Linked DNA regions of Bombyx mori. The protein of the gene in region 1 purifies or fractionates together with the protein of each later gene. This does not show direct contact. Links are inferred from orthologs where the notes say so. Each region holds a gene or a part of one and is shown in the gene's direction. Other genes may lie near its edges.

The links.
Region 2: the proteins of DNA-directed RNA polymerase III subunit RPC6 (region 1) and DNA-directed RNA polymerase III subunit RPC7-like purify together in Homo sapiens (co-immunoprecipitation; 5 studies listed by BioGRID and IntAct, counting the BioPlex papers as one, with this or other methods). This does not show direct contact. The link is inferred for Bombyx mori from reciprocal best matches to the Homo sapiens genes POLR3F and POLR3GL.
Region 3: the proteins of DNA-directed RNA polymerase III subunit RPC6 (region 1) and DNA-directed RNA polymerases I, II, and III subunit RPABC5 purify together in Homo sapiens (co-immunoprecipitation; 3 studies listed by BioGRID and IntAct, with this or other methods). This does not show direct contact. The link is inferred for Bombyx mori from reciprocal best matches to the Homo sapiens genes POLR3F and POLR2L.
Region 4: the proteins of DNA-directed RNA polymerase III subunit RPC6 (region 1) and DNA-directed RNA polymerase III subunit RPC8 purify together in Homo sapiens (affinity purification with mass spectrometry; 4 studies listed by BioGRID and IntAct, with this or other methods). This does not show direct contact. The link is inferred for Bombyx mori from reciprocal best matches to the Homo sapiens genes POLR3F and POLR3H.

The regions. Positions count from the first base shown.
Region 1 is NC_085131.1:5,843,092-5,851,739, reverse strand, and holds the start of DNA-directed RNA polymerase III subunit RPC6, read left to right. Parts: upstream 1-3,420; 5' UTR 3,421-3,526; coding exon 3,527-3,714; intron 3,715-3,879; coding exon 3,880-4,084; intron 4,085-4,160; coding exon 4,161-4,412; intron 4,413-4,817; coding exon 4,818-5,054; 3' UTR 5,055-5,553; coding exon of another isoform or gene 5,554-5,885; 3' UTR 5,886-6,969; coding exon of another isoform or gene 6,970-7,112; 3' UTR 7,113-7,179; coding exon of another isoform or gene 7,180-7,348; 3' UTR 7,349-7,435; coding exon of another isoform or gene 7,436-7,577; 3' UTR 7,578-8,648. Other genes in the region: putative OPA3-like protein CG13603, read right to left, coding at 5,554-5,885, 6,970-7,112, 7,180-7,348, 7,436-7,577. UniProt on the Homo sapiens protein: DNA-dependent RNA polymerase catalyzes the transcription of DNA into RNA using the four ribonucleoside triphosphates as substrates.
Region 2 is NC_085117.1:13,525,949-13,533,331, forward strand, and holds DNA-directed RNA polymerase III subunit RPC7-like, read left to right. Parts: upstream 1-4,177; 5' UTR 4,178-4,331; exon of another isoform or gene 4,332-4,453; 5' UTR 4,454-4,458; coding exon 4,459-5,112; 3' UTR 5,113-5,199; downstream 5,200-7,383. Other genes in the region: uncharacterized protein LOC105842656, read left to right, coding at 1,361-1,477, 1,948-2,087, 3,241-3,340; sperm-associated antigen 6, read right to left, coding at 3,393-3,464, 3,550-3,610, 3,689-3,834, 5,458-5,616, 5,924-6,076, 6,800-6,952. UniProt on the Homo sapiens protein: DNA-dependent RNA polymerase catalyzes the transcription of DNA into RNA using the four ribonucleoside triphosphates as substrates. Specific peripheric component of RNA polymerase III which synthesizes small RNAs, such as 5S rRNA and tRNAs.
Region 3 is NC_085133.1:5,482,795-5,490,914, forward strand, and holds DNA-directed RNA polymerases I, II, and III subunit RPABC5, read left to right. Parts: upstream 1-3,441; 5' UTR 3,442-3,718; coding exon 3,719-3,813; intron 3,814-4,853; coding exon 4,854-4,962; 3' UTR 4,963-5,028; downstream 5,029-8,120. Other genes in the region: polyamine-transporting ATPase 13A3, read right to left, coding at 1,777-1,893. UniProt on the Homo sapiens protein: DNA-dependent RNA polymerase catalyzes the transcription of DNA into RNA using the four ribonucleoside triphosphates as substrates.
Region 4 is NC_085117.1:13,230,206-13,238,775, reverse strand, and holds DNA-directed RNA polymerase III subunit RPC8, read left to right. Parts: upstream 1-3,905; 5' UTR 3,906-4,329; coding exon 4,330-4,440; intron 4,441-4,551; coding exon 4,552-4,735; intron 4,736-4,827; coding exon 4,828-4,968; intron 4,969-5,774; coding exon 5,775-5,974; 3' UTR 5,975-5,989; downstream 5,990-8,570.

The DNA.
Region 1 (8,648 bases):
CATAACGACAGCATTTATAGCATTGTATTGTAGGAAAAATATATATCTCTACTGGAAGAGCATTATAGCACATAAAAATCCGTTTTGGTAAAACTTGCCCATCAAACGTTATTACAACGGATTCAGAGGGTTTCCAAGAAACCGAGTCATTAATTTTCACCTTGCGATTCAAACGTCTTATTTTAAGTATTTTGCCGCAGCCTATAGGAACGGATACATTTCGTTGAACTTCGTCTACACTCCAATCTACAGGGACCCCACGAACTAGCCCCATTCTTGTTATGTTGAAAGTCGGAATGAAGGCTTTTAACTTTTTCGTTTCCAAAAGATTGCAGTTAAGAAAGTTATTGGCGTCTTTATAATCGGAAAAGCCAACTACGCACCTATTTCTTCCTATACGCTTTACACTACCGGGAATAATATTTTCAAATTTGTTCTGCTTTAAAAAATTGCCGAAAGTTATAGGATGGAGAACGGTCCCGTCATCAGGTGAACTTTGTATACGTTGAACGTGTATCAAATAAGGGGAAACATCAGTAAGAACATATTCAGTCCGGCCGATCCAACGGGAGTCTGTATTGGTTACTGTAGTTTTCGTGTTATTTGAATTTCCCGCGTTAGAGTCTTGAGAGATATTTGAATTTCCCGCGTTAGAGTCTTGAGAGATATTTGAATTTTCCGTATAAGATGTTGATGGTTGAGAGGACGTTTTATGTGAGTTAATATTATTTTGCGAGTGTGAAGATGACGTCGATTGAGATATAGGTTTAGAACTTTTAGAAGTAATCTTTTTTATTAAAATTGACTCATCTTCCATATTGCATAAACTTTCGCACTGACAGTAATCACCGCTAGAACCACCTTTCTTATTTCTCCTTTTCGTACACTGCCGACAAAGGCGTAGATAACGTGTTCGTTTACGACTTCCTTCACCTGTCTGAGATGATAACGAACAATCCGTATCCATTTTATCAAATTCATCTTGTGAAACAACAGTTACATATGATCCCACGGGGAGATTCAGGCCAACATAGCCATCATCCCCCCGATCGAGATCGGGGGGCTCGTTCATACAATATTTACAAAAATTACAAAAACTTACCAACTATACGATGACACTATACACAAATATGATACAAAGATTACATATATTACAAAAACTTACACTACCAGCTTATCCTCCGCGTTTTAACTATAAAATTAAATTAAATTTTCACCACCGTGAAAAATACGTCTACCATAAACGAAGTTTCCCGCGCTTTTCTTTAATAACCTTAAACGCCTTCCAAACCTCTTTAATAACCTTAAACTCCTTCTCGACCTCTATAACCTTAAACTCCTTCTCGACCTCTATAACCTTCCTTTAACTCCTACTCGACTCTTTTACCTTTAACTCCTACTCGACTCTTTTACCTTTAAAATAAAAATAAAACCTTTCACAAATAAGGATAATTATAAAGCTTGGAGAAAGCTAATTAAATTATTGCTGGATACAAAGGGTTAGAGTCGAGAAGGAGTTAAGGGTTAGAGTCGAGAAAGCAGAGTAACGCAGTGGAAGCGTGCTGGGCCCATAACCTGTTGGATGGTTACATTTTAAGGGGTTGGGTTCTGTAGGTGATGAGGGACTATTTAAAAACACAACTGCTTCATTATAATTATATTGCAGATTGCTTGAACACTTTTAAACCATTATACAATTATTATCTTTATATTTTTTTACTTATTAAAACTATTACATGTTTGTCTTGCCGTGTCTAGATGAGAAGTTCTGACATTTTCTTACGAGAATACAATGATCTGTTTTTTTAAACATTTAAATTAATTCCAATATTCGAAATCTAATCAAGTGTCAAGTGTTGCCTGCCATTACATTTAATATACAAACTCCAACAATATATTTTTTTCCTAACGTTATATAACCAATCGAGCCATAAATACTGTTACAAAAAAAACTTCTTTTTTTCAACTATATAATGATTTTGAATTTGGAACACGTATATTATTTTAAAAACTTTGTGGCGTTTAAGTACGCACCTTTTTATGATGCGTAAGCCGGAACGCACGAGAGGTGGGAAACAGAATATAGTCTGTGACACGGGACCTTTTTTTTACCGCCAAATATTTAAAACGTAAAAACAATTTATAATGTGTAAAATAACTAATATAATATAATTAGCTAGAATTGTTTATGCCGCTACATCAATAAAATTTATATTGTTTCAACTGTGGTGTTAATTACATAAAACACGACTTTACGGCGAAAGAAAGACTCTATATGAACTCCCTCAACTTCTTTCGATTTTGCGCCATTTCACATATTTTTTCGTGTTCATTATCAAATTACAATATGGAATAGGGTGTTAAAGAAAATAGGTTTGCAGTAATCGCCTTACACAAAGTGGATATGGAGCCGTCGGTCATATTCCAGACACTTCAAAAGCTTGGTATCAGCCGTATGTTCGTAAATTGTACTATGAACAGATACAAAAACACTTTGTCTGTCGAAGACCAGAGAAGGTCGGGGCGGCCTCGTGGTGCTAGAGCTACAAAGGCTACTAATGCTGTTAAAGCCAGAATTCGTCGCAACAGCGAAAAATGATGATTCCCGCTAGGACTGTCGCAGATTATAAAACAAGACCTGAAGTTCAGTGCTTATCCTCGATGTACATAACATGACCTAAATCGATCTTTACAATTAAAGAGAGTGGATCGATCCAAACGTCTTGTGTGCAGGTGAATGGCACAGAAATATCCTCTTTACCAATAAAACAATTTTCACGATTGAAGAACACTACAATAAGCAAAGTGATAGTATAATTTAGGGTATGCACACCGTTCTGAAGAAGTGCTATAAAGAAGTGTTCTGCTCAAGTGATCAAAGGAACAACGTAGTCATAATCCTGCGTCAGTAATGATTTGGTGAGGCGTGTCTTATCAAAGAGTCACAAAACTACATTTTTGTGAAAAAGGAGTAAAAACTTCAGCCAAGGTGGCTGATTGAAATTAATTTTTTGGCGGGAACGCGAGGAGTGAAGTTGTGTGTATTGTTTTATTTTGTTTATTTAGTGTTTCTTCAGGCTTATTAACTGCTTAGTATCTGTGAAATTGCACAAATGTGGGAAAATGAAACAAAGCCGCTGAACGTAACTTCTCGGGATCCTCCAAAAAGTCCACTGAAAAAGTCTCAGTAAATGACCTCCATTTTACTGAGATTATATTTCATCCCATATCATCTCATCTCATTTCATTTAATTTCATCCCAGTTGATTAATGTCTCAAATTAATCATCTTTATTTCATTTCACTCCATAATATCATTTTTCATAAAAATATGAATATAAATTAAAATAAGACATGACTTAAAGGTCTTAGTTACCAGGTCATAAAATCCCTTAAAAAATATATATATTTGTTTAGCCCATAGAGTTACTATTCTAACTAAGGTACTTATTAACTCCATGGTTTAGCCCAAGCCCCAAAGCATATTCTAATAAATCTAATACACAAACGCTTAATATTTTCCAAAAATGAGTTCCGAAGATACAAAAGAGAAAATACTAAATCTTGCAAGAAAAAGCTCGAAAGGAATTACAGACAAGGATATAATTGCTGAAATACCTGGCATATCATCAGTAGAACTAGTAACTGCTTTAAATGATCTGCTGAAACAAGAACGTTTTGATTTATTTAATCAAAACGGATCTTTAATTTATAAGTACGTTAGCAAAATAATGAAGGTGTCTAAAGATATTAGCGTAACTAATAAATATAGTCTATTTATAGAATTTTTAGAGAAGAATTGGAAGATTTAGAGAAGAATTTTCAAAGAACTTGAAATAATATTAATAATAATAATATTATTAAATTTTATTCATTTTAGGTTGAAAACTCAAACAAATAAGCACGCAATCAAAGGAGCAGATAATGAAGAAAAGGTAGTCTATAATCTGATTGAAGAAGCAGGAAATAAAGGAATTTGGATTAGAGATATTAGGATCCGTTCGAATCTTGCAAACACTCAACTGACTAAAGTCCTCAAAAATTTGGAAAGTAAAAAAGTGATAAAAGCTGTGAAATGTGTTAATGTAAGTAAATTTAATTTTAAATCAACGAAGATCTATCTGATACTTAACTTACAATTTAAACCTGGTTAATTCACAGGCCTCTAAAAAGAAGGTTTATATGCTTTACAACTTGGAACCAGATAGATCATTGACAGGGGGAGCTTGGTACCAAGACCAAGACTTTGAATCCGAGTTTGTAGATGTCCTCAATGTACAATGCCACAGGTTCTTGAGTCAAAGAGCTGATAATATGAGAAACAATCCTAGGGGACCTGTTTTTGGACGAACACAAGCTTATGCTACTGCTACTGAAGTCCAAAAATATATTACTGATCTGGGAATTAGTAAAGTAAGATTTTACAAACATACACTAACTTTTTTTTTTTTTTTTATTGCTTAGATGGATAGACGAGCTCACAGCCCACCTGGTGTTAAGTGGTTACTGGAGCCCATAGATATCCACAACGTAAATGCGCCACCCACCTAGAGATACAAGTTCTAAGGTCTCAAGTATAGTAACGACGGCTGCCCCACCCTTCAAACCGAAACGCATTACTGCTTCACGGCAGAAACAGGCAGGGTGGTGGTACCCACCCGCGTGGACTCATAAGAGGTCCTACCACAATACACTAACTTGGTCAGCGAACATTTTAAAATACCATGTAGATTTAATTAATTAATGTTTCATTTATATCTACTTATATGATGTTTATTATTACATCAACGTTTTGTTAGTGTTACTTTTCTTTTACAGGTTGTATTAGATGTTGATGATGTAACAACAATTTTAAACACCCTAGTGTATGATGGGAAGGTAGAAAAAAGTGTGTTTCCCGATGGAAGTAATGTATATAGAGCTATAGAAACTCTTATACCATCTTCAGGCCTTGTTCAAGTGCCATGTGGAATATGCCCCTTGATTCAAAGATGTAATTCCTCAGGACTAATTACTCCACAAGTTTGTAATTATATGACTGAATGGTTGGAATAATTAAAAAAAAAATATAATTAATAACATTTTTAATACCTATTTAAATAAGTATCATTGATCTAGTTAAAAGAATATAAGCTTCCTCTACAAATTAAATTGTGACTAGAGACATTATACTTAAAAGCATTAAATAATATATTTCTGTTGAAAACACATACTATTTTAATTCTATTATAAGTTCAAAATTTTTGCTTTTAAAACAGATATTTGTAGAACATTACTTAACAATAGAATACTTAGTTACAATATGAATATTGTGTGCACATTTGAAAAACCAATACTTTTATAACTGTAGATAATTTTATATAGTTAAAATTACGTAACTTTTAACTGAGAAAAGTCTACTTTATAACTTGTCACACAGAAGGCTCCTGTTTTAAAGCAATTTATTGCAAATTAGTTATGGTCAACAACAATTTTGCAACAAATTATTTAACATTCTAGTGGTCATTTCAACATTTTAATGCAAGTACAATGTGTAATTTATACTGTAAAATCCTCAAAATAAACTTCTAAAATTATTCTCGATATTATGCAAAATACCAGAGAGTACAGCTGGCTCCCTCCTATTTCTTGTAAATTTATCTTCATCTCTTTCTTTCTCATATTCAGTATTATTTTTGGGGAAAAATGAGCTAAATGCGTCCATTTGTATATAATTCAACGACTGCAATATTAGGCCTTTATTTGGATAAGGTGTGGGACTAAGAGTTGGTGAATTGTGATTTATATGTTCAGGAACGTGATTATTTAGTGTGGCATCTGGTGGTGATCTCCCATTTGTACTATCTTTGTCAGAGGATGGGCTGTTTTTGGGTGCTTGATCTCCACCTATTAAAAATAGAAAATAAATTGATGATTGATATATTTACATTGTTCTTAGAATCAATACTAAGAAAAAATTTATCAGCAAGCTTTGTCACCAGTTTAAATATTTCCATGCCATAGTGTGTGATATTGATAATATTACAATTTCTGAGATGATAAAATAATTAGAACCTGTACACCACATGATATCAAGCAATAAATATGCATGACAGACTCAAGTACCAACCATACTCATAAATTGAGTTTTAGCGCCAGTCAGAAGCAACAAAACAAATTGCAAACCAACAGTTCGAATTAGTTGGAACTATGTTAACTTAGTGATAAGCAAAAAGTAAAGATTTAACTCTTACTGCTGCCCTTGGGAAGCATTACAGTGTCTGAGAAATATGTATGCTAACACCATCATAAATCAGTATCTTTGAATAAATTAAAAGAACAGGTTACAAATATATGAAAGATTCTATCTATAAAGTACTTTATATTATATTTTTCCTAAATCGAGAATAATAAAATTGGCAGTATAAATTATTTTGCAAATGTTTTGTATGATTTTACATCTCTATGTACTGGTGTTTATAGAAAATAGAAAATAAAAAATGGTCCAATTTGTTTGTGAAGCACATGTCCATATTGATTATGTAGACATTAAAAATCAACAAATAACAACAATGAACCTTCTATTAAGATATATTTAAACAAAATTATTATTTTTCCACAACAGTGGCTTAATGATAGTTTTAGCTGGTCTATAACTGATCTATGGGTGAAGACTAGGCTTTTATAACCACATTTCCAATTACAGTTCATTTGAACATCAGATTTATAGACATAGCAACATGCAAAAAAGGCAGTTTGGTAAATATTTTCAACCAACTATATAACTTGTTCATAAATAAATAAATTTTACTCATATTTATACAGTGTATAAACCCGACCCATAATAACACTATTATCATTTTAAGTTCAAAGTCTTCATTCAAACCTTATAATGTTAAGAAAAGACCAAAAAGACCATATTATATAATGTAAATGGTTCCAAAAAAATTTACAGGTGCAACAGAATTAGTTTTATTTACTAACAACATACCAATAGAATGAATAAGCCTTTCCATTTCTCGGAGTTGTGTCTGTTGTTTTTGCACAGTAAAATACAAATCTGTGATAGTACTTGTGATGTGTTTCATCTCCTCTTCACGCTTGGCTTCTTTGGCTGCTTCTTTTTTACTTTGCCTAAAAATAGTCAAAATACAATTTCGAGACATCTTTTAAATTTACCTTTTATACTGTGAAAACATACCTATTGTACTCGATCACTAAAAGGCTAGCACCAATTACGAATATAACCGTTTCGCCAAGAAGATTTGCTCCAAGTTCAATGGCCATTTCCTGGCTTAAAACAGGAATATTGACAGGTTTTCCCAAATTTAAAATCCACATTTTGGCTTTAACTTCACACCAATTGTAAACTGTGAAAAAAAGTACATGAGAAAGGTTTGTTTCGCTTATGTATAAAAATGATTTTATATGGAAACGTGAAAAGCATTATTACTTACATTGCGCTGGAGGCATACAAACATAAGTTCTGAAAAATGGATTATTCTTGGCTCTCTCCTTGCACACGTTCGCGATTGGTTTACTTATCTGTTTCACCAACAAAACAGATAATTTAGCTATTGGAAACGCCCCTACAACCATATTGTATGGGTTATTCAAAATAAATACAATAAATCCAAAAATTCGGTTTAGTCCTTCACAATGGTTTACAGAATCTCAATTATTTATTCCCAGGGTTCGTAAAATCGTCGTAAAGTTTTGGACATTTGATAAATTTGACAGTTAACTTATTGACAGTTTTTCTTCGGCATTAAACAATACATCCTTGTTCACTTATCCCCAAGAGTAACACATTTTAGGCTGGCCCCAATATTTATTATTATATTTTATCTATTAGTTTCAATCTATTATTTATATACAAAAAGCTGATTTCCACTCACCCTTTACAAGTTCGAAATTACCAGGCCGATGATTTTAAATTTGACATACATATTTTTGCGACACAGACGCTCAGTAGGAACAGATTTTATGTAAATCCTATTCTGATTGGGTTTTACGTACCTAAGCTTCGCAAAATTGCCATAATAAATTGGCAATTTCGGGGTCGTAAAACGATCCAGATTCTGCAAAACACTACTCTTTTTAGGCCCAATGTTAGTAAACTCTCTCAGGTTGAGCCCGTGAGCTTATCTACCAGTCCGTGAGTAACTGGAATAACTCCCCCATCTATTAGGTAGAGAAAAAATCCCCGAAAAACGCACCATGCTTAGTTATTTCTGTGAGTTAAGCTTCAAGGCAAATCTATCACTATATATGTATATTCATATATTCATTGAACAAAAGTAATAAAATGGAACGGGAAACCTAATATCATTTGCAATTTTTAGGATTTTTTTGTTCGTGTTATGTTTATTTGTGCTCGTCTCCGAAAGTACTGGACCGGGAATCCATTTACGGATACCCGGTCGAGGGGAGCATTGGACCGGGTTATGTTGGCCTCAGCGCCTTAAGAGAGGAAGAGGGAGACGAGGAGGGCCAAGGTCCTCCTCCAATTTCTCGCAGGAGAATACGCCTTGAAAAAGGCGCGCGAGGCACTCGCCCAGCAAAACTAACTAACGACTTTAACCACATCGAGCTCTACCACACCGGCTTTTTTTTTTCAGGCCAGGGGCTGAACCTTCTACGAGGTCCCCGCGCCTAGGGGGCGCGCGG
Region 2 (7,383 bases), on another chromosome or scaffold:
AGAGCCTCACTTCGGTAAAGCTATTCGATACATGAGACAGCAACATAAACAAACCTTCTCTCTCCCACAAAATGAGATTCATAAGCTTACCACTAGGTGGCACTGATACAACCTCACACAAATTAAACATAACATTAACATCGACTGAGTAATTAAAAAAACTCGCACTAAGCACAGGTACATTACCCATTACCCGACTAATTATAAATATCGTTAGAAAGCTTGGCATTTCAATTAAACGCCTTAAAAAAAACCTTGCGTGCTACCAATATAAAAGAAAAAAATATCGCTTCTCAAGATGAATAAACGTCCTGCAAATCGAGTAACTCGCACTCAGAGCTCCGCACGTTTCACCGTGAAGAGCGTACACTCGATGCGAGTCATTCGATTCGATTTTTGAAACTCGCACTAAGCCTACAGTAGTCTTTGCTTGAAAGAGTAACACATACCTATCCATCCATAAATCTTAACAAATTTCATATAAATAATAAAATTATAATTTGGATCTGAAATGAAGAAACATTAAAAGTAGATATTATAATATTTCGACAGTCCTAGCCTCCAAAAAAAAATGGCAAAGTTCATTCACATCAGCAAAACTTGTTTGCTTGGTTTTGCCAATAGTGATTTAATAAGACTAAATTGCTTTATAGAACGTAAATTACCATAACTTTGATGAAAAAAACACTACTAAGAAAGTAAAATCCACTTATTTATTTACACTAAACTTCCGGAGCACGTAGTTACCACAAATTTAGCAGATGCATTTAGCAACCGCCAAAAATGACAATTCTTTCAAATCTGGGTTGTCAAATCAAAATAATCAAGATGTCGCCAATCAAATGTTCAAAAGTAGTTCATTGCAAATGTTATAGAACATAAAGTTTTGACAAAGGTACCTTTTAAGTCGGGTCATGGCAAATTTAACAATCTTTGACAAAGTCGCCAGGTTTCACGGTATTTTGAAGATGGCATAAAATAAATTTGGCTGATTATCAAACTTAAATTGGTTTTTTTTTTTTATTGCTTAGATGAGTGGACGAGCTCACAGCCCACCTGGTATTAAGTGGTTACTGGAGCCCATAGACATCTACAACGTAAATGCGCCACCGACCTTGAGATATAAGTTCTAAGGTCTCAGTATAGTTACAACGGCTACCCCACCCTTCCGCTTTTTGATCTTATTGATCCTTATTGATCTTTTCCGTGTACTTTTTCCACATAGTAGTAGGTACAAAGTGAAACAAAAATATAGCTTGTTTATTGACTTGTATTATTTTATCACTTTAGTATTGAAGACTTACCATAACCGGTAGATAACGACAGTAAGATAACAGCTAGTTTCCTGTCCACAATTATCATGTACAGTTATTCAGTTTGTGGTGGACATTTGGTAGTATACCTTCATCATTTAAACATGCATTACATATTACTGACTGAGCTAGAAACTGTTGGATACACTTCTTGTAAAATTCAGGTAGCTTGTAACCACTAGTATACTATTAGATACGTATGTCCTCTCGACTAAAGTGGCAATAAGCAACAAAGTATATGTGTTCAAGTGCATTTAAGTATACCTACCTTATTATAGGTAATAAATATTTTCATCACCAGTCCAAATTATTCAAAAAAGTGAAATTTTCTATTTTAAGACATGTGCACCACAGGAGAACGTCTGTCGAGTCGAGTAATTGTATATATCAAACTAAAATTATTGTTTTATGTAAATCTAAAAGTACTAATAGTTTTTCTCATCCAATTAATAATACATCACATGCGTCAATTCTTTATTGCGACTTATAATAACGTACCTGCCTCTTATAGGTCTGCAATAGTGCTATTTAAAATGCTTACAAGTATGTAGCCAGTTTAAATTCCTCCCTGGCGATTGTGTGTAATGGCCAATAGCTTCCACAATAATTCGTTTTCTCTTTTTGTAAATCACAGGGTTTAAATGCAAATGAATTAGAATTACTAAAGACGAATTTAATACGACATGACATAAAATTCCTTCAAAACCAGAATTTTCACGAGATCGAAGCGTTGGGTGTACGCATGTTAAATCTGTTGGCTGAAAATGACTTTAAGTGAGTATATATAAACTATAAGGAACACATCTTGAAGTAACTTCGTCAAAGGTAGCTTAAAAAAGTTTATTATCTTATCTTATACCATCTCCTTGAGACTAAAAAGTCTGATGGTATAAGATAACAAGGATGCGATGCAGTGTGAAATATCTAGTTCCAATTTAAGAGCTTAAGAATTCTTTTTTTTTCTTCAAGTTTGTAGGTCTAAATAAAATATTTATATTTACTAAATTCACGCTCGTAATTATAACTATCTTTACCTATATATAATTCTACTGTACGTGTGTATGTCACTGAACTCCGCCTGGACCGATTTGAATGAATTTCTATTCGTTTGGGTGGCGCCCTGGATGGTTTAGATTCACAAATCAACCCCGCAGATGGCGCTGCAGTCGGTATCTAGGTTATTTCTCTTTCCTAAAAACCCAAAAATTTAATGGCAAAACAACCTTTGCTGGGTCAACTAATATTTCATATATGTGTACCTATTATATATTTATAGTTAAAAAAATAGAACACTGATAGCCATGCAGATCTATTATTCTTACCAAAGTAAAATAGGGGTAGTGACGCAAGAAACGTTTGGAGAGAAAGTAATCCCTACTGTCGAAACGGGTTCCGATTTTTAAAGATAATGCTATAATTTATAATTATAATATAAATTCTCGTCATCGCGAGATACATGAATCTGCTCGTCTATATATTGGCGCGTCTAACGTAGCCGACTGAAGAAACATTTAGATACCTACGCTTCTATTTTAGACACTATCCATAACTTTACAAAATAAGTTAAAAATATTGGAAAACAGCGTTCTCTGAGTGTTAAACAACCGTATTGCGATTGGTAATTGATATAAATTGGTTTATATTGACGTAATGTACAATCGCATTCTGAGTGTTTCTATCGCGTAGCTGTCCTGCATTCTAGTTTGAAGTGTGGACCAGCAGTACCAAAATGGGCCCTTAGACCTTTTGTCACCGACCGGGTGGTGATATTCACGTTGTGATGTCTTTGGGCTCAGGTAACTACTTAACGCTAAATTGACTGTAAGCACACACTCGTAGCGAATTGGATAATACCCTCTAAATCGGGCAAGATTTTTACCGCAGATAAATCGGTCTGTGTACAAATTTAACCATAATCCTATTGCAGTTACAGAGTATTGACTCAATCAATGGTAATAGAAGAATCTAAGATTGGTGGAAGAAATGTACAACTACAAAAAATTGTTTGGACTATGTACAAAGAATGAAAATTGAAACAGTATTAATAAATTGTATTTAACAACATATAAGAAAAATAAACTAATTTCTTTTCTCTATACTCATTTCGCTTTGGCAATCACTCGGCACCCGATCAGTAAAAAGTTCTGGTATCTATTCAACAAAAGAAAGTTACATGTTAATACATGAAAACTACAAGTGTCTATCGAAAATATATACATAAGAGTTTATTCCATACTTGTGGTGTATACGCTTCAACTCTATCCAGCAAAGAATCTGTGTAGCCGGGAGTATAATATCTGAAAATGAAAAATGTATAAAAGCCCACAGTTGAGATTTGAGTAGGACAAATTTTCTTTTAGTAGGTAGTCTTTTACCTTACTATTTCTTCAGGGAAGCAACTGTTTATGATATTAATATACTCCTTCAGGGACGTTCCGGGCACTGTTTCAATTTCTTGTATTCTTTTCAATGCTCCTGTTGTAACAAAAAGCCTTCTAGCTCTTGCATCGTTGGGTAGAATCTGAAAAAATAAAACGAACATAAATAATCTACTTCCTTATACTTTCATTATAATTTGTATAATAATTTCTGAACTGAACAGTTTTTCAGAAATTATGAAACTCCATGAAATTTAAATGGTACTTGCAAAAGACCCTAATAAGAAAAACATACACATTTCTTGGATTTAGCCTGCAAGAGAATGATTCGCACGTATATTTTGTTCTAATAAATGATGAACCTCATTACGAATTACTACGGTAATTGGTTCACGTTCTTCAAATGATGAAGGCAATATACATAGGCTTATTTCATGTCATCTCTAGTTTATTCTTATTTCACGCCATAGTCAATTTCAAATTATCAATAATTCTCATACTGCTGCATTTTACGTTTTGAAAAATAAATAAAGCCACGATTTTTTTTAACGTTGGCTGTATGAGCTACGTCTCTATTACCTGATTTATGAAAGAATTAAACGAAAAAACATCCGATTCAAAACAATAACAAATGAGTAGGGTACGTAGATACCATAGATTATACACTTAATATATTTGAGATAGGTAGATACCATCTGGAGTTTCAAATTTAAATAGATTAACTATCACCAAATTGTTTTCTGATCAAAAAATCGATTACAGTTACAATGGCAGGTAGAGGACGAGGACGCGGGGGTAGCGGTTTATCATTAACTACTGAGCAAATACAAGCCTTAGGTGTGACACGCGGCGACAATGCTCCTCCAACACTTGTGCCGCCACCACTGTTTCCAAAACTTGAGAAAAAACCACTACCTCTTATATGTGATGCCGCCACTGACTATATGCTCATTGTCAAAGATCAGTTCATTGAATATCTACACGAATCACCGGCATTTGTTAAAGTCAAAACAGAGACTGACGGTGTAGAGCGATATTCTGATAAGTACAAAATGTTAGCACTTGATGCGAAGCAGAATAAGTTATTGGATTGCGTGTGGGTTAACATGCCTACCGAATTACGGCCTCAAGCAAAACGTCCGCGTACTGTTCCGAGGAAAAGAAAACTCGATGATCCCGAAGAGATAGCAAAGAGATTACAAACGCTTGAAAAAAAAGAGACTCTGGAAACAGATGAGGCGATAGACGGCAAAAAAAAAGAATTAAACAACGAAAACGTAGATGAAGAAGAGGAGCTGGAAGATGAACATGAGCAAGAATACGAACTAGATGATGGTACTGACTATGCAAATAACTATTTTGATAACGGGGAAGATTATGAAGAAGAAGATGATAATTTGGATGATGGACCTGTTTACTAGGAAATATATATATACAAATTTATATTACACAGTTGAAACTGATTGATCTTGCATATTAAAAATAATTACAATTAACTGTTAATCAAATAGTTTTCACTTTTAATTTTTACTTTCAAATATTCTTTATTAGCAATTTGAAAAACAGTCCCGCCTGGTAGAACTCTTTAAAAAATAGAAATAAATGAATATTTCAGCGAAAGAAGTTTACTACTTAAGTAACTGCTACATCATATTTAAACGAATCAATCGTTAATCAATCGAAAAATCAATCATTACTGATTACTGGAGCACTGTTTCATTTGAAATAGTGTATTATTGTTATATTTGCCTAACTAGAATAATTACCTTTGCATACTGAGCTAGTACATATTTCAATATACAAGCAGGTGCAGAATGTAACAATGTCTCTAATGCAGGTCTATGTAGACAGCATTGTAATGCCTGTTTCAATGCACATGATGTCCGAGCTTGTACTTCTCCTGAAGACTTTGGGTTTGTGTAAAGCTGTAAAATTAAACTAACGATGTTTAATTTAAATATAATTTAAATATACTTTAAATATTGACATCTATCTACGTATATAAATGAAAAGATTATAAATGTGCTATTTGCACATGTATCAGACAAGTATTAAAGACTGATGACAATAATATAGTAATTTTATTACTTTGGCTTAATATTGTGATCAGAATTAGTACATCGAATAAAAAAAAAACGTTATGTCAATTTTAATTCTGCTTGCTGTTAATTTTTAAACCACAAATACTTTTACATCTAAACTAATCTAAAGTAAGAATGAGGTCAACCTAACTTGTAACAGTCTAGGTAGAGCATTGGCCACAGCAACAGCCAGACTGTGTTGTGGTGAGTGTTTTGCGATGTGGCCTAATGTCCAAGTAGCTGCACACAACTCTGCATCTTCTGCATCTTTCTTTTGTAGAATTTCAACAAGTGGTGTAATGGCCTAAAATTGATAGATACATTTTTTTTATTTATAAAACCAGAAAAGGCAACACAACAGGTCACAATTTGTGATGATTGATAACTTAAATAGTGTAGTGAAAAAACTTAATAAGATTATTTATTTCATATTTTTTTTTAAATTCAATGTTTCATAAATTGACTAATAGTCTCAGTATTACCAGTTTTCACTCATAAATATATATAATAAGTTATGTTTATGGCATCGACATAGGTATAAGCCGTGACGGATTTAGGCTTGATGGCGCCCTAGGCCCTGTTTATCGCGCCGCCCTCAATGTTTGAATAAATTTTATTAATTTTGATTCAATATTTTCATTTTAAATTTAAATTATCTTTATTTCCTTAAAATATAATTTTTGAATATCATCATCATCATCAGCCTTTATCTGCCCACTGCTAGACATAGGCCTTCTCCAATGCCTTCCACAGCATGCGGTTCTCCGCCTTCCGCATCCAATGACTTCCCGCTGTGCGCACTAAGTCGTCGGTCCACCTGGTTGGAGGACGCCCCACGCTCCTGGTACCCATCCGTGGCCTCCATTCGAGGACTTTCCTCCCCCACCTGGCGTCGTTGGTTCAACAGACGTGACCGGTGACCGGAGACGTGAAATTAAGTTTAAAAGGTATAATATATATAAAAGGTATAATATAAATATTAATATTTTATTGAGTTGTGTCAAACACAAATGTAAACTTTATTCACCTTCGATTCTATAACTGCCATTGCGAGCTGATCTGATTGCCCTGCAATAAATCCTAGTGCCATACAAGCTGGGACTCTTGATCCACCCGTACTCTCTTTTAATAGTTCGACCAAAGGACCACATCCACCAGTGTTCACTACTAGCTGAGCCAACTAAATAAATTGCAAATATTTCATAGTTAGGTATTAGTAAGATTATGGATTATTTCTTTCTGTTTTGATTTTATAACAAATAACTGACTAATCGAACGTAATGCTATGTTTTTTTTACCCAATTATTTAACAAATAACAAGTTTAGTAAATAGGAATTAAAGTAAAATAGTTTGCTTTCGAATCTCTTCTTTCCGTGAATAACATTTGTGATCACTTCATACGCGCTGATCATGTTGCTCTTAAACATTATTTCGTTCACAACAGTATCATGCGCTGCTCGGAACCTACCTTAGAAGCTATTTACACTAAAACTCTACCGATATCAATTCATCGCAAAAAAAACCTGATAAATTACTAATATAACTTAATCGTCGAATTCACGTGGGATCGGTATTAACACTGCATTACGATTACCTAGCAATAAATTTAT
Region 3 (8,120 bases), on another chromosome or scaffold:
GGTAGGAAAAAACTCTGCATTTTTATGAAAATCACACCATATCTAAGCGACATAAAACACGTCACAGAGTGATGAAACCTATACTAAACGACGCAGAAAAATCAGACGATTCCAATGGTGTATCTAACTCATTTTACCTACTTTTGTCGCTTAGTCATGTTTGCCTTTCAAGCGTCGATATGAATTGATAAGTTTCTCTATTGTTCTCATATCAGTATTTTGTTTTACACAATACATTTTTTTTAATTATGTATATAATTCATAGTATAAGGATTTAAATTTCATGACGTAATTTCAAAAAGCGTAGATTATCTTGTAATTTTTTTTTTTCATATTTTATACCTAATTTCACACAGTAACAACATTTTTTGACATGAATGGGTAGGCAAGTCATGTGGTTTTTTGGCCTCTATCTTCTGAACAGGAGTTCGGTCGCGACCTGCGTGCGGGACTCACATGTAGACGTGTCATTCGCGTCTCCGTCCGCCGCGCAACGTGTCTGTGGCTGGCGCGTCCTCGAGGGGGCAGAGACGCTCTCGAACCATCGGTGCGTCCGATACGAGCTCTTCGCTTCCACCTCGTTAAACGCCCCGACCGAAGATGCCCGCAGCGAGGAAGGAGCTCCCGCGTAGCTCTTTCCCGCGATGGGCACTGAAGCACCTAAACAAGGTGCTCGCGGTGAAGGCGGCCACAGTAATCGTGTGGGCGCCGCGTGCCTAGTTGACTTGGAGTCGGCGGCCAACTGGTTCCGAGGTACGATGCATCGCGTCTGCGATACTGCGATGCGATGCAAAGCCACGTCTCACAGCATGAAGATGTATCTAGAGACGCTCGATCAGGATCTCTGGGGCACCCGTACCAAACCAACGCAAGAAATTGCGGCTGTGGGCGCTCCCGGTGACGAAGCAGCTTGGACAGCTGCGGGCTGTTCCCACACATGGGCATACTTGGGAGGGGTCCCATGGGCGCGCCGCCACGCGGTGACGTGACCGGTGACGCCCCTGCTGAGGTGGTCCCTCCAAGCATCTCGGAGGAGGAGATTCGTGCAACCGTGCCGAGGTTATGGGGCAAGGACACGACCCCTTGCCCTGACGTTGTTCACGGCGGGGCTAGGATTTGGACTTCCCTTGGGGAACTTTAGACCCTTGGGGAGCGGCTTGTGCAGCTCATTGAAGCCTGCCTTGAATCGGGGCAGCTTCCTAAGCTGTGGAGCAAGCAAGACAGGGAGACTTGTTTTGCTGAGGAAGGAGAGACCCCCTATGAATTCGCCTGCAGGGTACCGCACGTCATCAGCTGGGATCTGCATTGCCATCCACATTGCGGTCGTAGCTGTCGTCACCGAATATACTGTGGAAGACCAACCCAGACCGTAACACATTTTAACCCAGCAGGCTGGTTCTGACCCAGCAGGATAAAAGTCCTTCATAAAAACATCTTTGGGACCACAGTCTGTTCACAACATCTGCAGATCATTAAGTCCCACAGCTTCAGCCCAAAGCCCACAAAAAAAACCTGTGGTTTCACATTTGGCACCTCTTTATCACCAAGGTCACTTCCTAATGCAGTAAAACACAAGTTTCATCAGAATTAGGCCATTGGCTAATTCATCCTGGAAGTCAGAACTGTTTTTACATGACTCACTAAGCAAAACCACCCACCACACGAACCTTTTCAAATAGAACAGCAGATTTTTTGTATGTATATATGAATTAATTTGATTAAAAATCATCAGTAATTCAGTGTTTTTGATCTATTAAGGATAAAACTAGTCCTTACCTGTTCAAAATCAGGGTCAATGTTGATTAACTGTGTTGTAAGTTCTAAATACAGTGGTTCTCGAGAGCTATTTCCCTTATAATGTATCAAAGGTTGAATATCATCATCTGAATCCATTTTTTTTATTTCAATAATCGCACTACTTTGTAATATATTGTTTGTTTTTTTAATTTATCTAGTAGACTAATAAATTTAAATTTCATTACAGAAATGAAATCATATTAAGACATTTTTTTTTATACTTATTAAAATAATCTTAATGAATTCTTGTATTTCAATTGAGAACAAGGCTTTTGTTCATGAAATTAAAAATAAATTTAAAATTTCATACTGCAAAATTGCCTGATAACTGCACTGTCAGATATTTTTCACTATTATATCCGAATTAACGCTAAGGCCAGACCTTTGAAATTGTAAATAATTCAAAATACAACAGAAAAGTAAGAAAAATTATCACCAAAAAATTACAAAACCCCCTTGTTTGTTGTATTTCTTTTAATAATCTAATGTCAATTGTCAAAATATCATTTTTATTGATTCGTTCATATAGTACAGGCAAAGGAAATGGGACGCATACAGTAAAATGTTTTGTAATTTAAGCTGAAGCCAATCATCAGTCAAAGGTGAACTGGAACGAATAAACTGAATAATTGTATGAGACCGAATGGAAATTGTACGTTGTAGTTAATTTAGGGTTTCTTCAGACTTTAAAGCTTAAAATAATGGTTTATTAACCGTAAAACATTTGTTATAGTACACAAGTATGAGAAAATGGAGTAAAGCAGCTGGAAATGTATTTAGAACATATTTTTATGCAGCGCAGCATTGCAATGAGTCGATTCCTATATTGAGACGAAGCAGATAACACTGAAGGAGAAAATGAAATATACTTAACAACAACAACATCATAGGACTTGAATTACATGAAATTAAATAAATATCGCAGTAACTTATTATTAAGCAACTGACAGCCTAATGCATATTTTGGAAGAATACGAGAAGCTATGACTGACGTTCGTCTTTCATTTTCCCAAACTTTTGCATTTTCACATATTCCAAACGGTTCACAATTCACTCTCATTACACATGTAGATCTGATGAAATATTAAATTTACAAAATAAAATAATTAACTTTGGACTTTTGAGATTTCACAAATTCGATATGCTCTCCCATGCCTTAATGTACGGAATGAATGGTTGTTTTAACTTGATTTATTTACATTGAAAATTTGCCGATGATCACAAATGAAATGCTACGTACCATTTGACTGTCATCAATACTGATATGTTGCTGCAGGGATAAAGTCATTTTAACCTGAAATAATAGAGAAAACCATACATTTCACATTTTTTAAGAGACTGGCTTAGAAAATTTCTTGATTACTTATTAAAATATTCTAATAATAAGTAGACTGCTCCAAATATGCGTCAATCAATTTCACTCAAACGTTAAAAAGGAGCATATCTTACTCTCTAAAATCCAACCACTAAAAGTCAGTTTGGAAATTTAAAAAATAATTATGTACCATTCAAATGAAATGAACATTCATTCAATGTTTTAAAATGTTTTAAAAATAAAACATTAAAATTTGGTTCTATAGACTACATTCCTTTTGCCGATTGAAATCGACAAACAAAAATATCATATTTTCTTGTGACACTGTCATCTTTAATCATAAGTCATAGACAATACAATATGTAATCTATGACTGTCGTTGCGAGTCTAAAAAGTTTTTATCTCGAAGTAAAATAATATTATTGTGAATTGTAAAGAATAGAATTACAGTGTTTTCTCATTAAATTTAATGATACTTTGTAACTAAAATATCTTCTATTATTATTAAAAGTAAATACGTTTTATAAACCAAATAAATAGTTAAAGCATTGATACTTTATAACCCCAGTGCCTCACCACAACTTTAGGTTGTAGGAAATAAACAAAATGATTATTCCAGTACGATGTTTCACATGCGGGAAGGTTATAGGAAACAAATGGGAAGCTTACTTAGGCCTGCTACAGGCGGATTACACAGAAGGGTACTGTACAATTTAAGTTTTGCAACTGGTTTTTATACTTACCAATATTCTAGAACTTTAAAATGGAAATAACTGACATACATAATATAATGTAGTTATTTGATAAAAATTCAGCAAGAAAGATAAAACAGCTCCTCCCAGAAACAATATTAATGTTCTTATGAATTCAAATGACGGAATATGTAGGTGATTCCTGTTAACTTGGGTTTTTCTTATTTGCCAACTCATACTTACAGCCCACCTATCTTAAAGTGGTTATCATAATCCATAGGTCACAAGGTGGTAATTTTTTTTTTTTTTTTTTTTTTTTTTTTTTCCTACCTAAGCTGATAGCCCTAGCGGCTATTTCAGCGTAGCCTTAACTTTAGTAGGTGAGCTCACGGGGCTCAAACCTGACGATGTTGCTAACACGAACCCTAGCAAGAGTCGTGCTTCGCAGAATCTACCACCGGATCGGAAACGCGACCCACTGAGAAGATCCGGCGAGAAACTCAGTGGGCTGTGTCTGAGAATTAATTTACTCGTCGAGCCCTTCGTCGCAAGCGACGGGTTCGACGAGAACGGTGACCGGTGCTTGAAGTACCTAAAAGCACCGTTAGTGGATCAGGAGGATCCGAGATGACGTGTTTAGGGCGACGTCGACTGCTTTCCATTCTGTCCGCAGGATCGGGAATGAGGTGGTAATGATGGTAGATCTTGACACCAGATTAATCTCTGGACTGTTTTGCAATATCCAGTTTGAGTGTGAGGAAACGGAAGCATATAAGTGATAAATGTAAGATGATATCCTACTAGACAAGTAAGCTATGTAAAAAGTGGCCCGAGTTGATATAATCATTACTACCAACTGCAGCAATGAAATAAGATTGTTAATGCTTGTTAGCTTTGAGTATTCTTATACCTTTTTTAATGTGTTTATAGGCATAAGATTCTCTTGATAGTGATAGATTACTGGTAATCATCGAAGTCAGTTAAGCGTACTGTATACAGTAGATTTACTATGTGAATGTTAATATTTAATTGTATTTTTTTACTTTCAGTGATGCTTTGGATGTCCTTGGATTGAAAAGATACTGCTGCAGAAGAATGTTGCTCGGACACGTGGATCTCATTGAAAAACTCTTGAATTATTCCCCATTAGAAAAATAATGAAATATTTTTTAAAAAACACAATTAAAAATAAAAATCTATAATTGACATAAATTTTTTAAGATATTAGAGTTTTTCTTTCATACCTATATTAATCACCGCACAAAGGCTCTTGATTTACATGCCTCCCATTGTCAATGGAAAGTTTAACACAGTATTTATTTTAACTGGTCAAAGTCTCAAAGCCTAGGACATTGGTTCCTTCTGTCTATTTGTGAAGAAATTCTATCTCTACTGTATATTTAATAGCCAAAATTATTGTAAGCTCTAACATTTGAAAAATGACCTGCTGTTTGCTTCTTTTATAATCTGCATCAATTGAGGTTTGTATACGAGTGCGTGGGTGCAGGTTTTTGTCAGCTTATTAATATTCTGAATCGTTAAAGCCTTGAAACTATATAAACTAAATAAGAGTGATTTTTTCATGTACCAAAAAAAACTAGAGTAGGTTAAGACTAGTTACAAAAATTTTATTGTTATGAGACTTGTTTTAATTGCTTTTTACTTGTTACGGCCAATCCACATTTCATTATTGCTCATTATCAGCTCGTCACACACTTCAATTATCAATTTCTTTTATAATTGAAATTCAATCCTTTTTGACTTTGCCAAAATCCAGTTTTATAGTCTGTGGTTTTGGTTGTGCCCAGATGTCTTTTGGTGTGGTTTGTACTCTTGTTTGTTCTTTTATAGGCTTCGTGATTGCACAAGGTCACATAAATTTTAATTATTATTATTTTACAAAGTAATCAACTGTTGAATTACTTACCTAAAACAGGACAAACAATATATGAGGCCTATCAAATCAAAGGCAGCTAAATGCCTTAATGTCGTAAAATGGATTTACAATGGCGTTATCTTGTTTAGTTAGTTGGACACGCCTTAGTGTTTTCATGTTATAACAAATGCAGCTAAATCTCTAACAAATTCAGTTCCAAAATTTTATTATTACTCTGTACTAAGTAATAATAAACGAAGTTTTATCATTTAAAATTCAGATTATTAGTAATATTCTCATTCTTTATAAATGTGCTGTAAAATAAAGAATATCGTAGCTATCCGAACAAAGTTATTTCAGCTTCTCAAACCGGGAGTGTTGCTAACACTGGCCCTAGCAAGAGCAGTACTTCGATGGATCGGGAGGATCCGTAATGACGTGTTTAGGGCCCATTTTTGTAGTTTACCTGAATATTTGACAGACTTGGATTTAGCTGCCTTTGATTTTATAGGCATCATACATATATAACAAAAATGATTGTTAGAAGGTTAGTAAGGACAAACAACTTATAGTCTAATGTTATTCTGGTGAACATATTCGCATAAAATATTTAGATAAGGTGTATGTACAAGGCTCAACAAAGATTTGAAATTTGTCGGTCTGGGGATAGTGTCCGGTAGCACTTCGTAAAGGGAAGGTCTTCTAGGGCAGTTAAAGAAAATGTGTTCTGCTGATCCCTCGTCGAGCCCACATTCACAGAGGGAACTATCCTTGACCCTTATTTTAGCTAGGTGAACCGGGGCACAAGCATGACCTAGTCTTAACCTACATATTGTGGACGTGACTCTCTTGTTGGCTTTCCTATATTTAAAAAACCAAGGCCGAACGAGCAACGAGTCTTGAACATCCGCGTAATGTTTACCTCTAATGCGTTCGAAAGGTTCCACGCTTCATTTCAGCACGATATGAGATCGGCCTTAGCTAGAGACGTTAGATCTTGTGCATAGGTTGGGTAATGAGTATCACTACCTATTGTCGTGGCATCCTTAGTACACTGATCAGCACCCTCATTACCCACTATACCGCTATGTCCCGGGATCCAAGTTAGGGTGACTTTTATGCCAGACACGTGACACCGAAAAAGAATTTCTTTGATTTTCAGAACAAAAGGGAATTTGACTTGGATCTGAGTTGGTTTGCAAGGATAGCCTGTAGGCAGCTTCTAGAGTCAGTGAATATCACCGTGTTGTGTAGCTTATGTGATTCTATATACATCAGGGCTTCAAGGATAGCTAGCGCCTCTTCTGTAAAAACCGAGGCTTGAGGGGAACACTTAAAGCTTAAAATGATTTAGTACTCCGGTATCCAGACAGCGAAGCCTACACAGCCGTCAGCTTTTATTTTTGATGAGTCAGTGAACATAGTATGCCAACCATTTCACTTACTATTGACGACAGAGTTAAATTTGGCGTTTGCACCGGGGTCATCTTTGTTTATTCCGATATTTAGAACAATGTTCGGGCGGTATAGAATTGCATTATAAGGTGTGAGGAATAAAGGATTTAACCTACATTGATAGACGGACAGGGGAGGCTGATAAACCTAACAAAACTGGTGAAGAGGCATGGGTGGGACTTATGATTCCAGTAACTGTTGAAATAGATGTGTTCCGAAAGAGTATGTAACTTTTAAATAAGGGGGTGGTTGGAAAGCTGAAATTTTTGGCAAATGAATCTGTCCGATAAGTACTGTCTCCTTAAGTGCAAGGGGGGTTCTGCACATTCGACCTGAAGTACGTTGATGGGGGAAGACTTCATTGGTCCGATTATGATACGTAGGCACTTTGATTGGATCATGTCCAAGGAGGTTCAGGCAGACTTATTGCAAGGTTCTAGAATGTGGGTGCCATAATCAAAATGGCTGCGCATCAAGGCGTTATATAACAGCTTTTGTGTGTAGGGGTCTGATCCCCACCATACGCCTGACAGGGAGCGAAGGATATGGATGTTCTTTTCGCACTTTTTGATGATGTGGTTAATGTGTTGGACACCAGTCATACGCGAGTCAAGAACGACTCCGAGAAATTTTACTGAGTTTCGCACTGGGAATATAATTCCATCAAATGAGACAATGACGTCGGGATTAGATCGCATGCGAGAAAATGTCACTACACTACTCTTCACAACTGAAAGGGATAGACCATGATTACCTAACCAGTCATGGAGATAGTTAATAGCGGAGTTGAAGCGAGCAGAGGCATCCCCTAAGTCCCTGGCTGAGACGTATAGAGCCAAATCATTCGCATATTGTAGTACCTACGTTTCAGAATGAATTTACCGAAAGTTCTAGGTCGTAGGTATACAAGTTGTATAGTAGTGGGCTTAAAACTGATCCCTGAGGGAGGCCCTTCCATAGAAGTCTAGGAGGAAGTAAAGAATTT
Region 4 (8,570 bases), on another chromosome or scaffold:
AATTTGCTAGGGTTGGCACTACTAGGTTTTAATTTATTTATTTATTTAGTTGCAACAACAAAGTGATCATCAATAAAAATAATTTAAAAACTGACAAAAGTACATGGCAGATGTCACCTCAATTATAGGTGCAATCGACAGTGCATTAACATAAATGGGCTTTCTTAGAAACGGTTTATATTTCTTCGTTCTTGATAAGTATTTAGGGGCTGATATTTTTATCTGGGTTAAGAGATTAGGTGTGTCGGTTATTCCATGGATTAATCAGATGAATACCCCCACTCTAAACAAATATTAAATATTTTATTATGTATTACTTAGACATTTTTGTCCACCTTGAGATTTCATTGTTCTTGTTACATGTCCGTGAAAAATCGACTTACTTATATTAAATTACTTATCTATTTCAACTAAAGACTTATTCCCAATTTCATAGGCTTCTACTGCTGTTTTTAATATTAAAGGATCATATCTCATAAAAGGCTTTGCACTCTTTGATACGTACACGCGAGGCATATCTAAAAATAGAAAACAATATGTAGCTGATAATATAAATATTTACCAAACAATAAAATAACACATTGATAATTTTGAATAAAAGTTCTAGACAAAGACATCATGATTAAACCAGATTTTTACCAACAAATTTAAAAAATATTGTTATAACTACATAGACAACCCTACAAACCTGTACCTATTTATACTTAGGTCGTTTCCATTTCACGTATTCTTATCCCAATTGACCCCTTTTTCGTTGTTATTTGTACCTAAGACGTCCCCAATATCCCCAAAAACAACAGATTTTTACATGTATTTTTATTTTATCAAATACATTAAAACCAATAACAACTGAGACTCACATTTAATATATATGCTGGTTCAAACACTAAATAAAGTTTATAAATCACAGTCGTCTTCTATTATTATCAAATAAATAAAAGAGAGCAAAGTTTCTAGCACTAAAATAATTACCACCACAGGAAGTTAATTTGAAACGCGATTTTTTATAAGTTAGCAGCTATTATCATGCATATTCAGAGTTGTTTTGTGAACTTTCAACATTCTGCTATTAAACTACAAGAAATGTAAGATTTTGCAACGAATATAAAACTTATATTGAGCGTCGAAAGATTTTCCCGGTTTTTTCCCGATTCGCCTCTCAATCCCTAATCGCCCTATTTTACCGGTACTTAATGCTAAATTAATTTTTCAATTGCATGATAAAAACAATACGTAAATTTTATTTTATTTTATGACCTGGTAACATAGACCTTTACGTCAAATATTTCAAATAAAAACAATATTTTAGTTTTTTTTAATGAATTTTACGACTTGGTAACTAAGACCTTTAAGAAATGTCTTATTTTAATTTATATTCTTATTTTTATGAAAAATGTTAATATGGAGTGAAATGGAATGAAACGAAATGAGATGAGATGATATGGGATGAATTTCATCTCAGTAAAATGGTGGTACATAATTTACTGAGATTTTTTCAGTCGACTTTTTGGAGGATTCTGAGAAGTTACGTCCAGCGGCTTTAATTCATTTTCCCACATTTGTGCATTTTCACAGATATTAAACAGTTAATAAACCACCGTCATTACACATTTAACGAAACACTAAATAAACAAAATAAAACAAATCACACAATTGCACTCCTCGTGGTCCCGCCAAAGGGTCTTCTTTCTCTCATGGAGTTAATAGGTACTAACCATAGATTATACTTATTATTTGATAGGTACTAACTCTATGCTTTCTCTACAGAATCAGCCTCAAATTTTATTATTAAGTGTATTACGGCTGTCCAATTTCAAAACCTAGTATCTGACAAATTTAAAAAAAAGTGTGTTTTTGCATTTTTCGACCTTGTAGACCATTCTCCACATATTAGGATAGCAAAAACCCCCAAAAATTTGTAAAAAACGAAGTTACACAAAGTCGGAAACCTAGTATCTACAGTAAAGGTTTTCAAAATGCAAAAATTACAAGATTAGAACATAGTATATAACATCAACCATTTTAAAAACCTAATAAGTGCTTGTAGTTACTTGGATTTAAAATGGTTCATGCAGATACTAAGGCAATGAAATGGTTGAAATAAACGTCAAAACTCCCGCGAAACTTTAGTAAGTGAGAAAATCGTTGCACGTTGTTCGTGTTTTTGTCTATAAAATGAGTAAAAATCAGTTTTATAGGTCGAAATTGATCTTGAATGCTTTAAAAGAACAACATGGTGAAATGTAAGTACGCTTCAGTGTGTTTTATTATTGTCAAGGTTTTTTGTTTTCCAAAATTGCAACCTACTACGACACATAAAGTAAATGAAGGTGCAAATATTCCAGAGGATGTTAAAACTGCATACGGGGATCACAAAGCTAGAGCAAGTAAAGCAATACAAAAGTATCAAGAAGATGCCTCCCTAGAAAATACTTCCTCTGTGAGATACTATTCGATGGATTTACAAAAAGTTATGTTGTTACCCGACATGCCTAAAGTCAAAGAATCGTTTTTCTTGAGTAGAATGATAACTTTCAACTTGACATTTGCACCAATCAGAAAGAAAACGAATGTTAATAATATTTGTATTCTATGGCATGAAGCCTGTTCTGGACGAGATGCTCATGACATTGTTAATGCAATTGCAGCAATGATCGAAAAAGAAAGAGATTTTAATCATTTGATATTGTGGTGTGATAATTGCAGAGCTCAAAATAAAAATTGGATCCTCTTTACATCACTTGTTACTATAATAATCTCTGGGTTTTTCAATTTAAAAAGTTGGACTTTGTAATACCTACCTAACTAAAGATCACACAAGCATGTCGCTGATGGAGTTCATGGCAATATGGAGAGGCAGATTAAAAACAAAAGATGCTGTGTACGATTTTGAAGACTATAAGAATGTAATTTTGGGTTGCAAATCGCATATTGAAGTTATCGAATTCGAAAAATCGTATGAGTGGGTAAAAAAGAAACGCATACCGCGACGCAATGATGACCTTGTTCCCATTAATAATTTTTTGCTTAGTTCTTTGGTTGAAATAATATTTGTAAATGGGTGCCGTAATATGTTTTGAATGATTTTTAATCTCCGTATTCCGAGTTGAATTCTCTTATTAAAAACACAATCTCTTGATCATGCCAACCTTAAAAAATATTCCAAGAGGCATTAACGAAAGTAATAAGGAAGGCATAGTAACAACTTTATTTAGCTTAAAGAAGTTTTGGAGAAGAAGTCTTGGCAAAGTGTACCGATTAATAATAATCCAGTTAATTTAGTTTCTAGTGGACAAATATTAATAACCGAATAATTTATTTTTATTTGACTGTTTTCAAATATTTTGAGTGATTATTTTTTGATTTTTTACTGTGAACAAATAGTGTTTGGTTTCCGATTATGTGTTTTTTTTTTCTTTTTCATTAAAACTGCTTATTTCTGCCCATATTTATGTTGTTTTATTCTGTTTTTTCTTACTATGTTTAAAAAATTGCATTTAGTTCCTACTCAGTAAATTCAGACCTAAATGAAAACAAAGCAAGTGATCTTACTAAGTCTATTAATTTGCGTTTATCCCCACTCATTATATTTTAGAATTAGATGAAAACAAAGCAAGTGATCTTACTAGGTTTTGAAATTGTCACACTCAAAAAGTTTGATCTAAGAAAACAATCTTTTTATTAGTAACTGCTCCTCTACGCACATCTTTTGTGATAGACGCATGAAATCTACTTTTTTATAAAGCCTGTTATGCACCTCAAATTTTGCAATCACTCTCAAGAAGGTACGACTAATATTATTGAAACGGCACGCTGTCAAAGATATGAAATTGTTTTTCGGCTCTCCTGTAAAATTTAGTTTTATGCAGATACTGGGTTTTGATATTTCACAGCCGATTAGTATCGACGCTTGAAAGGCAAACGTGACTAGGTGACAATGCAATGACAATGCGTGAACTTTACAGTAGACTAAAGTTAAAGTTGGAATACCTGAAAAAAATCTATTTTAACGAATCTAGCTGTAGTAGAATCTAGCTAGTAGCTGTAGGATTGAAATGATTTTAATAGACCTAGAAATATATAGTTTTTGCGCCTCGAATATGGTTATTGCCTATCATTTATGTACAAAGCAGTTATTGTCGCTTAGTCACGTTTGCCTTTCAAGCGTCGATATGGAATGAAACATTGGAAGGTGGACTTAAAAAACTCGTACCCATGCCTTCAATTCTTAAAAAAAAAAGCAAAATAGTAAACAGAGCAGACCATAAAATCTTCAAAAACCGAAGTTTTAAATAGAATTTAATAGTAACATATTTATCAAATAAACCAATGTTTGTATTAGCTGAAATGAAAGATGTTATTCGAGTTAATCCAGAATACTTTCGTCAAAGTCTAACTGATTCTATAACAACTTTACTCAACAGAAAGTTAGCTAATAAGGTTCATAAATCATAACTATCCAAATTAATTTAACCGAATTAGTTTATCTAATTGTATTTATTATTAGTTGTATATTGTATAATATATATGTTATTAAATATGTATTTTCAGGTTGTGTTAGAAGTAGGTTTATGTATTGTACTGTTTGACATAACCAATGTTGGACACTCGTACATATTCCCTGGAGACGGTTCATCTCACACAGAGGTGAAATTTAGATATATCGTGTTTCGACCTATTATTGAAGAGATACTTATAGGAAAAATAAGGAGCTGCAGTAGAGAAGGCGTGCACGGTAATTTATCAGTCATAAAATTACATGTATACTCAATAATGAGACCCAAATGTAAATAAATCATGATTATAATTACTATTTAAAATTTTCAGTGACATTAGGCTTTTTCGATGATATATTAATACCAGTAAATGCTCTTCAGCATCCGTCTAGATTTGACGAAACCGATCAAGCATGGGTATGGGAATATCCTAAGGAAGATGGAGAAAAACATGATTTGTTCATGGACTCGGGTGTGTATTATCAAACTCCAATTAATTAATATACATTTAATAATTTTTAATAAATAAGTTAAAATTTTAAATATATGTTAATATCTATTAAAGTACACTTGCTGAGTGAAACACAATGTGTTGGTGTCGTAGTCTGGTCCCAGCATTAGCATTGCTACCTTTGTATTGTTTAGAAATGCCACAGATGGGTTTTCTATAATAAAGATTCCCGCAGGCAGGTGCCAATGCTTCTAATGAAATACGTACTTAACAAATGTTCACGAATGACGTCCACAATGATGGAATAATATTGGGTGATAAAAACCAAACTTGCAAAATTATAATTTGTATAATTAGGTAGTAGGACATCTTATGAGTCCACATGGGTGGACTCCACCACCAGCTGCCTATTTCTGTGTCAACCAGTAGTGTTTGGTTTTAAGGATGGAGCATGTGTTGCACTGTAAAAACGGAGACCATAGAACTTATGTCCCAGGGTGGGTGGCTGCATTTAAATTTTAGATGTCTATGTGCTTCAGTAACTACTTAATGCCAGGTGGGCCATGTGATTGTCCACTCATTTAAGCAAAATAAAATATGCCAAAACACAGGTTAGCACTGTTGACTAACAAAACTTAATAAAATGGGTATTTGTTTAGAAGACAATGCCAATAATAAAAGCACCTAAAAAACTACATTGGTGGATTGACACAATCTAGATGTAAATTATAATAACTACACAAATATTATGCCTTATCATCACTACAAAGATTCTTTTTACTGTTAACATTGAAAATCTGTACTTTTAATAATAAAACAAATTACAGGTGAATCAATAAGATTTCGAGTGACAAGTGAGTTTTTTGAAGAGAGCTTACCAACAGGTCCTCCAGGAACAGATTGTACAGTACAAACGGTAGCACCTTATAGACTGATTGGAGGAATAAATGAACCAGGACTTGGACTTTTAACCTGGTGGGAGACACCAGATCAAGAGGGTGAAGAGGATGAAATAGATGATGAATAAAATATTCAGCTTCTATTGTTATTTTTTTATTTGTACTATGTTTGGGGAAACGGTTTGTTAAACTTCTCTGAATGTCTCCAAAGGAAGCTAATCATAAAAGGCACATGGCAAGTCCATCTATCAGGAGATTGAAATTGTGAGCTACTGAGAATATACAGGGAAACTAAGAGGGTTTAGTTGCTGATTAAATTATTTTTTTAGTTTCGATGGGTGGACACACTCATAGCCCTAGTATTAAGTGGTTACTGGAGCCCATAGACATCTACAACGTAAATGTGCCACCCACCTTGAAATATAAGTTCTAAGTCCCCAGTATAGTTACAACAGCTGCCCCTCCCTTCAAACCGAAATACATTACTGCTTTACGGAAGAAATAGGCTGGGTGGTGGTACCTACACGTGCGGACTCACAAAGGCCCTGCCACCAGTAATTACGCAAATTATAATTTTGCGTGTAATATACTAAAGATGGGTTCAAATTCAAGTGACGTCTATAGGTTCTGGTAACCCCTAAAGATTGGAATGAGCCATCTGGAACTAATCATAAGAGTCAGTTGATAATAACTGTATGTAGACTTCCACTTTATTCAAGGAGGACGTTGATTATTGTCTGCTTAAGATTCGCTATTAATTCAAGAATTATAACCTCATTAAAACGTTAAAGTAAATTAAAAAGTAAAATATAATTTGCAACAATATTTATTTAACATGATTATATAATAATACATAGTGATTATATTCCATTATTTTATTATAATTTTAAAATAATAAGTAAATGCCAATCTTAACTTAAGAATTCGGCGTTATAAGTAGATACTATGCCATAGTAACCTTGTCGAAAAAAAACCTAAAATCACAGTGTTTTGACCTGGGTCTAAATCCTTTAATGCACCAAATTACAAAAAGTTATGGGTCAGGCATATGTAACCAACTAATGATACTTTTTGATGAGATCACTCAGTTCAAAAAGGAATAAAATAAAATCTAGAATAGTTAAAATTACTTTTACACTATCACTTTCTACAATATTAAAATCACCTTGCAAAATAAATAACAATGTGTTACAAAAAAAACCGGTTTGATCCTTTTCTGCTAGCTATACAGGGTATAGGTACTGTATACACTTAAGCATTATGTAAGTTAAGCTTGTGCAGTTTTGCCTGTACATGGGATTTTTTTGAATATTAGTGGAATTGTATGAAAATTTGCTATATTTGTCAGAATATGCTTGTGTAGATAAAATGTACTGGTAAAACTAAGTGTTTGTCACCAGCACTGGTCTTAAGTTTCTAGTGATTAGTAATAAATAATAATAGTACTATATAAGTCATTATTGAGCGCATCCAATACTGCTACGGTGGCATTATTTAGCTGAGAACTTTGACGGACAGTTGGTAAAAGTCTTTCTACGAAAGGATAATAATAATTAGCATTGTAAATTGGATTTCGTCACGTTTAAGATGACGGATTGGCCTGCGCTTTTTAATTTCAAATTTGTTAAATTCTACACGCAATTCTACCTTTTTTTCTGACTTGACTTTTAATAGTTCTACAAAGATTTCACAGATGTTAAAGTCACAGCTCATTAGAGCCACCCGGTACTCACTCCGCGGGCCTAATGGCGGGTGGACCATTCGGCGACAACTCGCTGCTATGCCTAAGTATGCCTAAGTATGCGACTTGCCTTACGATGACTGCGCATTGTCAATGCTGGCCACAAAAAATTCACACGAGAACGACACCAATAGTTAAACTGACTATAACTGGAAAATTCGTTGAACAAGCGACGCCCAGTCGTTAACCACATGGCGGCCACACGTGGACCACTTATCGACCACGTTTGGACGCCGCGCGACGAGGCGGTGGGGAGTGGGTGCCGGGTGACTCTAATGAGCTGCGACCTTTAATGGGCAAGATTTAATTATACTCGATACTACCACTTTCATTTTCACTGCCAATAAATTTTCTGACAGTAGTAGGGGTATTTCCAATATTATCCTATATATCTTACTGTTACATAATTAACAGTTTATATTTTACTACAATATATACGGAAAGATAGTTCTACATACATAATCTTATAAATCGCCTAAGATGATATGAGTGTCTACTGCCAATAATATTATGAGTTGTTAACTGGTTCTGAACTGGTAGTGAAATAGTTGTCCAAAATAAATTCACCCCAGTACACTGAGATGGTCACTCAAGACCATCAACTTAGGTAAGAAAAAAAAAACTGGTAATGAAATGGTTGTCCAAAATAAATGTCATCTAAAGCTAGGTTACAAATTTTAAATTTTTATGTCGATTATTAATCCTTTGACTATGCTTTATATAAAGACATTAAATACTTAGTATTATTAATTACAAGTATACACGATGAAATTTTCAAGTGAAATATGAGTCTCAAAATTAAAACCATGAGGAAAGACACAAAAAATTAAATTTTTTATGAAAAGCAAACCACCTGTTCAAAATCAATGTTATTTAACCAAGTTTATTTTCAAATCAATATGTTTCTTATCAAATACCAGACTATAATGATACAAGTTTTGCAGTTATATTAAAGTATGGCTTAATTTGTTGTGTCGGTTTAC